Saccharomyces cerevisiae S288C: one gene and its partner. Changing the gene in region 2 together with the main gene of any one other region gives a genetic interaction. Each region holds a gene or a part of one and is shown on either strand. Other genes may lie near its edges. The genes, in order: YPR015C and ASG1.

Region 1 (3,266 bases), on a different chromosome or scaffold from region 2:
ATCTGCCTTGGGTAACGTCATCTGTTGTAATGATTACGTTGCTTTAGTGCATCCAGATATCGACAGAGAAACTGAAGAATTGATAAGTGATGTACTAGGCGTTGAGGTCTTCCGTCAAACCATATCAGGTAATATCTTAGTTGGGTCATATTGTTCTTTAAGTAATCAAGGTGGGTTAGTGCATCCACAAACAAGTGTCCAAGATCAAGAAGAATTGTCCTCCTTATTACAAGTTCCTTTGGTGGCTGGTACCGTTAACCGTGGTAGTTCAGTTGTCGGTGCCGGTATGGTTGTGAACGATTACTTGGCAGTTACAGGTCTGGATACTACAGCCCCAGAATTGAGTGTTATTGAAAGTATTTTCCGCTTGCAAGATGCCCAACCAGAATCCATTTCAGGTAACCTACGTGATACTTTGATTGAAACCTACTCATAGATGTCAGGTACTCCTGAGGGGATTCCCCTCCTTCCTCAAGTCTGTTTACAGTTGTATGCGAAAGAGTCCCCATGTTGCAATAATCTTCTTACGTATCATTTGTGGTATTTTTTTTGGTATAACAAATATTTTTTCTTAGGTTTCTATGCATTTTAATTTTAGTTGTATGTATATTATGTACTCTTTTATTTTTTTTTTTTTTCTTATACCTATGGGTGACTATTCATTGCAGTTTAAGTAGGCGTCTTAATTGTAACATGTAGTCACTTTGTTCGAAGCATATGTAACGGGTTTCTAAGCAAATTCTTTGCATAATATGGATTTTCCGTCCGCTTCTCCGACTATTCTGACAACTTGCTCAGTTCCAAGTATCTGTTAGACAATATAGAACTTCTCCAAGAAAAATTGCACCGCACGTAGACCATTTGAAGGCTTTTTTGTCTAGCTGCTAGGACATACTATTGTCTCCACCAGAACCCGGAGAGTAGTATCTCTTGGCAAAGATTAATAAAATCGAACAAAGCTAATAGAACACCGGGGGTTGTGCGGTAAGATTTTCACAAGCGGTACAGAAGTGAGCCGTAAAATTATATATATATATATATATATATGGTGTACAACAAGTCAGCCGTCCATTTATGTGCTATCAAGCGAACTACGTTTCATCTCTTCAACTTGGTAGTTCTTGAGATATAAACACCCTGATCCATCGTACTCACTGAAATAGCAACAACTCCCTGAGTTCCATTGCCACGCATACCCACTCTCATATCCAGAAACAGCTAGTATTTCGATGTTTTTCCGCTCGAAGAAACTTCCGTAGTATTGTTGAGGTGTTGGGGGCATCGTTCCTTTTCGTACGCCAAAAATTCTTCCTCTATTGTTTCCAGAAAATCGTTGCAAAAAAATAAGTCCGCCACGCTGTTTTCTGTGACAACTCTATCTGGAGCCTTCACTAATGGTTTAAAAGGCACGATTTCCACAGAAAGTTTCGCAGCACTTGTTTGTACAAGGAGCGTAAAGCACCGGAAATCTTTTCCCACTGAAACCCTAAATATGAACGGCATTTGGTTGCCATGAGATACAGTCCCAAGAATTCTTTATATTATATAAGCGCTAGTTGTTGTCGCTCTTTTGACCTCATTGGTAGATATTTCAAATTACAAAATTATAATTGTTTTCTTGGTCCAACTTTTTTCTTCTTTTTGGAGGGCATTGCAAGGATCCAATACGATAAGCAAACGTCTTCATTGACCCGTTTCTAACTTTTAATATACATAAATTTTCATCTTCAACACTAATTAAATGTGGAGAACAAAAACGCTAGAATCTATGCTTTGTAGCCCAATGAAATGTTCATCGTCTAACATAGGGGGATCCTATGCGCAATCTTCAAAGGAAGTCTCGAACACGACCAAAAGGGAAGTGCATCTTCCACCTTGTTCGTCGATTATGCACGCTCCACTTACTCCTGAAATAAACCAGGCCGCACTACCACCTCCCGCTTACCATTACGCACCTTCTTCTCTGCATCAGACAGAGGATCCCGTATGGAGATCAAGTCCCAACTCTATTATCTTTTCGCCGGTTATAGCAACACCGCAACCTTTCCCTTTAACGTTCGTTGAACGTCAATCTTGTTGCCCTATTTATTCAACGGCAGCTTCCTCTTATACTGCCCAATCTGTACCTCCATCAATGCAGCATTTTCAGGAGGAAAACCACAGAGCGGTGAGCAACGAGCAGTACTCCCTCCCGAATGTGCATATAGGGCAAAATCCTGGGACGCTATTATCCCAAACACAAACCGACTTAGATCTTATACAAAAGCAACTGCGCGCTGTGGTAAAGCTACGGAAACAATGTCCTATCTGTGGGAAGGTTTGTTCGAGACCTTCAACACTGAGGACTCATTACTTAATACATACGGGAGACACACCTTTCAAATGTACTTGGGAGCATTGCAACAAATCTTTCAATGTCAAGAGTAACATGTTAAGGCATTTAAGAACCCATCAAAAGAAAATAGCAAAGAAAAAACATCAGTGAAAGCATTGTTTAGAATATTTTGTTTTCAGTGTGATTTTGATGTAGGTGTGACACTTTTTACCAAGTAAAATGAGTATAGATATGTATTAGTTCCATATAATATATTACATGTAGCCAACAATCAATTTTTACTGACTTCCGATTTTTGAATAGTGAGAGGATTTTTGTTCGAATTATAATTTCTACAAGAAATTTGTTTGCGAATGCATCAGCATTTGTAATACGGTTCTATACTGCCGCACGATACATTTTATTCTGTCTAGTTCGTAAGACAAAGGACCTTTTCATTTAGTACAACGTTGCCGACACGGATGTCTTGATGAATCTCTGTACCAGGAATTCAATTACCTGACTAGTATGCAGTTCACTATCAAAAAAAAAAAAAAGGTTAAATTGGTATAATCATGGTTAAAGAACAAACAGCCTCTTTCCTCTACAAAAGTATGTTAAATGTAGGTAGTTCAAATTGCGGTCACGTATATGCCAACGTTGTTAATATATAATGATCCATTGGAACAATGAAGTTTACAGAAGCTCAAAATTAATGCAAGAATAATTACGTCAAGGGAGTCATAACAAACTAAGAAAACAAAGGAATTTGACTAAGTTTGAGCGCAATGATATATCCATGCTTGATATTCTGATTCATACATATCGTTTCTGTCATTTCAATGGAAGTCTTTATTTATCAATTACCACAACCTTTAGTATTGTGCTTATTATTGGTCAAAAGGAGTTCATGCGCTAGTGATAGTCAACCCATGAAGTGATTAGTGGAACA
Region 2 (5,694 bases):
ATGCGGACGGTGATTATGACCTTGGTAGAATGGACACAAACGATTCCATTTCTGTTGCGGAAGAAAAGGATGCTTCGTTAAGTCACATGTGGGCAGAGCTAGATAATCTTGATAGTTTTTTCACAAAGGACACAAATGTGCCAAATATCTCCTCTAAAATGGGGATGGGAATTCCACATGGACGTTCTGATTCGATTGAAACCACTCGCACAGATCAAACTTTTTCCTTTGAGTCTGCTCCACAGTTGTATGACAAAAAGGTCTCAGTCATACTGAACAGGAGCTTATCTAGAACACCGTCCAATGTTTCATTTAAAACTCATTTGGCTGATTCATTTGCTGTGAAAATAAACAGGAATGGAAAGCCAAGAATATAAGTTAATTTTTTCGTTCAAATAAATATAAAGCAGGCCTTGGTTTATGATAAGGTACCAATGATGAAGATATTTCGCATATAGCTAATACTGTTCGAAAATTAGATAATCTTATAGAGAAACTATTATCATTGTTTACTATATTATTCATGTTTTCTTTTAATTATCGAGCTTTTGAAGGTGAGGTAGTTTAGGAAGTGAGGCTGATAAGTAAAAATTGGATTTTAGGGAAAACTAGATCCAGGATTGGTACTATTTTCTTTTGTTATTGCAGTTTATCACCATTATTATTATTATTATTATTATTATTATTATTATTATTATTATTATTATTATTATTATCATATATAAATACACACATAAACGTTTTAAGCTTATGTTCAGCAAGTGCTGTAGCCACGATATTATAGAATATAAATCAAAGATAACGTTTTCATTCAGAGGGGTAATTTAAAGGTAGGTATTTCCCAAATAGCTGAGCATCTAACTGATCGAATACTCCAAGAATATCGTTTGAGTCAGTCATATTTTGTTCGTTTTTAATTTCAATATTAGGTGACATCTCCTCTTTATCTTCTATGTTCAAATTGTCTTGTGAAAGCGGTATTTGTAACTGGGGAAACCCTTCATAAGACGGTGAATTGTTATCAATCTTAATGCCGAAGTCATTATTATTTTTATTATTGTTATTATTGTTATTATTATTACTACTATTACCACTATTGTTATTGTTATTATTATTATTATTATTATTATTATTGTTGTTGTTGTTGTCGTTGTTGTTGTTGTTGTGATTATTATTACTATTGTTAGTAATATTATTGTTATTATTGTTTTTGCCACTAACATTATTGTAGTTGTTGTTAATGGTATCTGGGTTGGAGTTATTTGATGCATTGCTCTTACTGCTGCTAAAATCGAATGCACTGTTAGTAGGGATGTCGCCGTCATTCCTGATAAAGACGTCATCTGTGGCATCAAGAATATTTGATTGGCCATTATTATCAAGTCTGATATCAATAGATAAGAAATTGTTCGGATCTCTTTCATTAGACATGTTAGTCGTTCCTTGGGATACTTGATCTTGCTGTTGTGCTTCATTTAAAGGATTTTCGGAAATAGGTGTATTATTTAGGTAATTAGCCATAGCGTAATCATTGGTGCTTTCTTCACTCTTAGCTAATGAAAAGCTATTCTTCGTATCCTGGGAAGAAAAGAATACGGGTGGTTGCAATGAATCTCCTAAATGAGGTTTCAAAGCGGAGGAATTATTAGTCACTAAAAAGGCACTTTCGTTGGATGGTGATGAATGTAACGCAGTAAGCTGGATAGTTTTTGAGTTTAGTTTTTCAAAAATTTGGTTCAATAAATTATAAGTCCTGCTAGCGGCCATACTAGAATCCTTGAGTTGAATAAGAACGCTTCTACCAGTTTCTGCGTCTTTCAAAATATCATAATATTCTCTAGCACTATCCTTATCAGGCAATTGCGCCTCATGGATGTAAAATAAGAGACCTGCAACGGAGTAAAAAATTGTATAACAGGCATACCAGTATGAACCAGTTAATAAATTATTACTAACCATCTCTTTTGCTAACTTAATAACCGTTCGAGCCACGGCAATAGAGTTCCGGGCTCTCCGGTAACATAAGGGATCTACATTTTCAGCATTCATGTTGCGTGATAAATAATGAATAAAAGGCCTGTATAATATTATCTGAACGTGCAAAAAAGACAAATGTAATAAACGATTTGCCCTTTCATATTCAGGATCAATATTTTCTGCGTTAGGTATCAGTTCTTTGGGCAACGAATCCAACCAATTTCTCAACTTTAATTCCAAGCTAGTAACTGTCTCATGAGAAATTATATTACTAGTTTTTTTTATCGGATATAGTTCAGAAATGATCTCATTTAAAATCAAAAATAGTTTTGTATGTTCATTCGAAATCCCCGTACTTGATAAAACGGAGTGTTGGTTCTCAGGTAGGTACGCCACCTCAGTGATATTCTCATCTGATAAATCCAGGGGGAGAGTTTGGTCAAAATCGTCGGGGGAAATAGATCTCGGTAGGCCCAGCATTGCATTGATATAAACGTCCAGTTTATAGATTGTATAAAAAAGGCGTTTCCTCATCTCAATTTCTATTGGACTAAAACCAGAATTGGGGCTCAATTTCCTATGAAAGCCTGCTCTCAAAGCACTTCTCATGGCGACACCGATATAAGTGTAACACGTTGATAAACGTGCGGAACATTGTAAGAATATAATCAGCATTAAAATTGCTTGTATGGAATTCAAGTCACGGGCATTTGTAATGTCGATTAGTTTCCTTGCTGCAATGAAGTACTTGTAACCTTCATCCTGTAGAAACTTTTCCCTTGACGAGTCATTTGAGACAATGGATTTCGAGAATAATGCTCCCACAGCGATTGCAGCGTAGCACAATGGTAAAAATTGCATTTGCTTAGACGTATAATTGTTTGGGTCTGTCTCATACAACTCATCCAATTGTCTAATGAACGATGGTCTGTGATAAAATCGGAGAAGAACACAGCAATGTTCCCAAGTACTTTTCACGAATTGTAAAGCGATCGCTTTTGGTGGTAGAATTATTTTTATTTCTCTACCAACGGGGATATTGGAGTAGGTATCTACACTGTCTTGTTCCCTGTTGCTGGAGGCGCTATTCGAGTCACTTTTCATGTTAGGTAAAAATTCGTCTGGAGTGGAGTTTTTTGAATTTGAAGAAAGTACTGGTTGGATCGGAGAAGAACTGTCATTTACGATTAAAGTATATTCTTTCACAGTGTCATCTAAAAACGACTGCGAGTCCCTCTTAAAATTGTGAAAGATCTGCAAGAACACAGGAATATCCAGATTGTCTATATCAGGTAACTGCGGGAAGACCTCATCAAATATTTGCTTGTACCTGTCAATCTTCGATTGTAACCTTGTGCTCTTAGTCTTATACTTTCTTGGTTTAGATGGATTGTTACTTGCAGGTATTGTAGAAGCACCCGGTAAAATAGCCCTTTCTGTTTTAATGTTTGAGAGGAGTTTATTTGGATTGGAAGCGGCGGCTGCCACCACAGTACTTGATGATGGACCAGTAGTAACATTGCCCAGTGTTAGAACTCCGGAGTTTCCGGAGTTCTGTGTTCTCTTCGTAGGCTTCTTATAAGTACATTCATAAGAGTACACAGTACAATGGATACATGGTTGCTGACCATCACATTTAACTTTTTTCTTTCTGCATTCATCACAGGCTCTAGTGACCCTTCTTCTCTTGACAGACTGTTCCCCTTGTTGCGCTTGTTCTGGCATAACGCCCTTATCAATTATAATATGCGCTCCTTTTTCTTTGTCTCTTACCTTATGGAACTCAAATAAAAAGAGGCTTTTTTTCTATATGTTAACCTCTTCGAGATTTTCTAACCGCTTTATAAAAAATTCGATTACTGGTTGTCTTCAATGCAAGGAACTACTCAACAATAGAAGGTCATGTCCAGGTAGACAAACCTCATTACTGTAGTCACTTTTGAAAAAAAAATTACCAAAAAAAAAAAAAAGAAAAAAAGAAATCACTAGGGCTTGAAGAGCGTAGGTCTTATAAAATGTTTTTTAAGGGCTTGAACGGAAATATAGCATATATGATAGGTCTAAAAAAGTTACGAAATAGGTTATGATCCATGGATGAGGTAAACAAAAAAATGGAAAAACATAAACAAATCAGAAACGGTATAGAGAGAACAGGATGGTAAGAGGTTTAGATGAATACCGGCTCTATAGAAGATTGAAGGTTTAAATAATAGTGTGTAAATTGTGCGTTCAATTAGCAAAGAAAGGCTTGGAGAGACACAGTAATAATAAATGTCTGTTACCAGTAGGGAACAAAAATTTAGTGGTAAGTATAGTTCGTATACAGCCCAGGATCGCCAAGGGCTTGTTAATGCGGTGACATGTGTTCTTAGCTCGTCAAGCGATCCTGTGGCTGTGTCAAGTGACTATTCCAATAGCTTGAGTATTGCCAGAGAGGTCAACGCTTATGCTAAAATTGCCGGATGTGATTGGACGTATTATGTACAAAAATTAGAAGTTACCATTGGTAGGAACACAGACAGCTTGAACTTGAATGCTGTGCCCGGTACAGTCGTGAAGAAGAATATAGACATTGATCTTGGTCCTGCCAAAATTGTGTCTAGGAAGCATGCTGCAATCAGATTCAACCTGGAGAGCGGATCATGGGAATTACAGATATTCGGTAGAAATGGTGCTAAGGTCAATTTTAGAAGGATTCCCACAGGTCCAGACTCTCCTCCTACGGTGCTACAGTCTGGTTGTATCATAGACATAGGTGGTGTGCAAATGATCTTTATATTGCCGGAACAAGAAACTATTATATCGGATTATTGCCTGAATCACCTCATGCCCAAATTACTATCTACTTATGGTACGAATGGTAACAACAACCCGTTGCTACGTAACATTATCGAAGGTTCTACCTATTTAAGAGAGCAAAGGTTACAGGAAGAGGCTCGATTACAACAGCTGGACCACCTACACACCCCATTATCGTCATCATCAGATGTTAACCCAATAGGGGATCCACATGGAGACACGATTATGATGGAAGAAGATGAAGAAGATGAAAATTACACCAGAGGAGGAATTAGACCGAATACATACACGTCCAGTAGCAACAATGCTGTCACTAACGGTAATGTACCCCATATAGAAAATCCATCAGACTTGTCGCTGGATGAAAACAGATATATCAAACCACCACAGTCGTATGCATCGATGATCACCCAAGCCATTCTTTCAACACCCGAAGGTAGTATTTCATTAGCGGATATTTACAAATTTATCTCTGACAACTACGCATTTTACAGGTTTTCTCAAATGGCGTGGCAGAACTCCGTGAGGCATAATCTGTCCCTAAATAAAGCCTTCGAGAAGGTGCCCAAAAGAGCTGGTCAACAAGGTAAAGGGATGAATTGGAAAATTAGCGATGAAGTCAGGCGTGATTTTTTGAACAAGTGGAATGCTGGTAAATTGAGTAAGATTAGACGAGGCGCCTCTGTGACAAGACAGCTGCAATTGCACATGTCCAAATTTGGAGAAATACCTGCTCCTGAATCTTCATCAATTGACCCGAGGGGGATAAAAGCACAGAAGGTGAAAAAGTCTTTACAAGCTACGAGCTCGATTTTAGGTGAAAGCGCCCCGCAATTACAAAGAACTCAACTCACTGGCCAAATTTCTACTACGACATCCATGGACGTAACAACAAACGCAAACGTGAACAATTCCTCT

The links.
Region 1: mutations in ASG1 (region 2) and YPR015C together harm fitness more than expected from each alone (negative genetic interaction), as found in Saccharomyces cerevisiae (one large-scale study listed by BioGRID).

Annotation. Positions count from the first base shown.
Region 1 is NC_001148.4:589,502-592,767, reverse strand, and holds YPR015C (uncharacterized protein), read left to right. Parts: upstream 1-1,741; coding exon 1,742-2,485; downstream 2,486-3,266. Other genes in the region: TIF6 (translation initiation factor 6), read left to right, coding at 1-436.
Region 2 is NC_001141.2:100,790-106,483, reverse strand, and holds ASG1 (Asg1p), read right to left. Parts: upstream 3,703-5,694; coding exon 808-3,702; downstream 1-807. Other genes in the region: TAO3 (Tao3p), read left to right, coding at 1-377; forkhead family transcription factor FKH1, read left to right, coding at 4,249-5,694. UniProt on the Saccharomyces cerevisiae protein: Probable transcription factor involved in the stress response.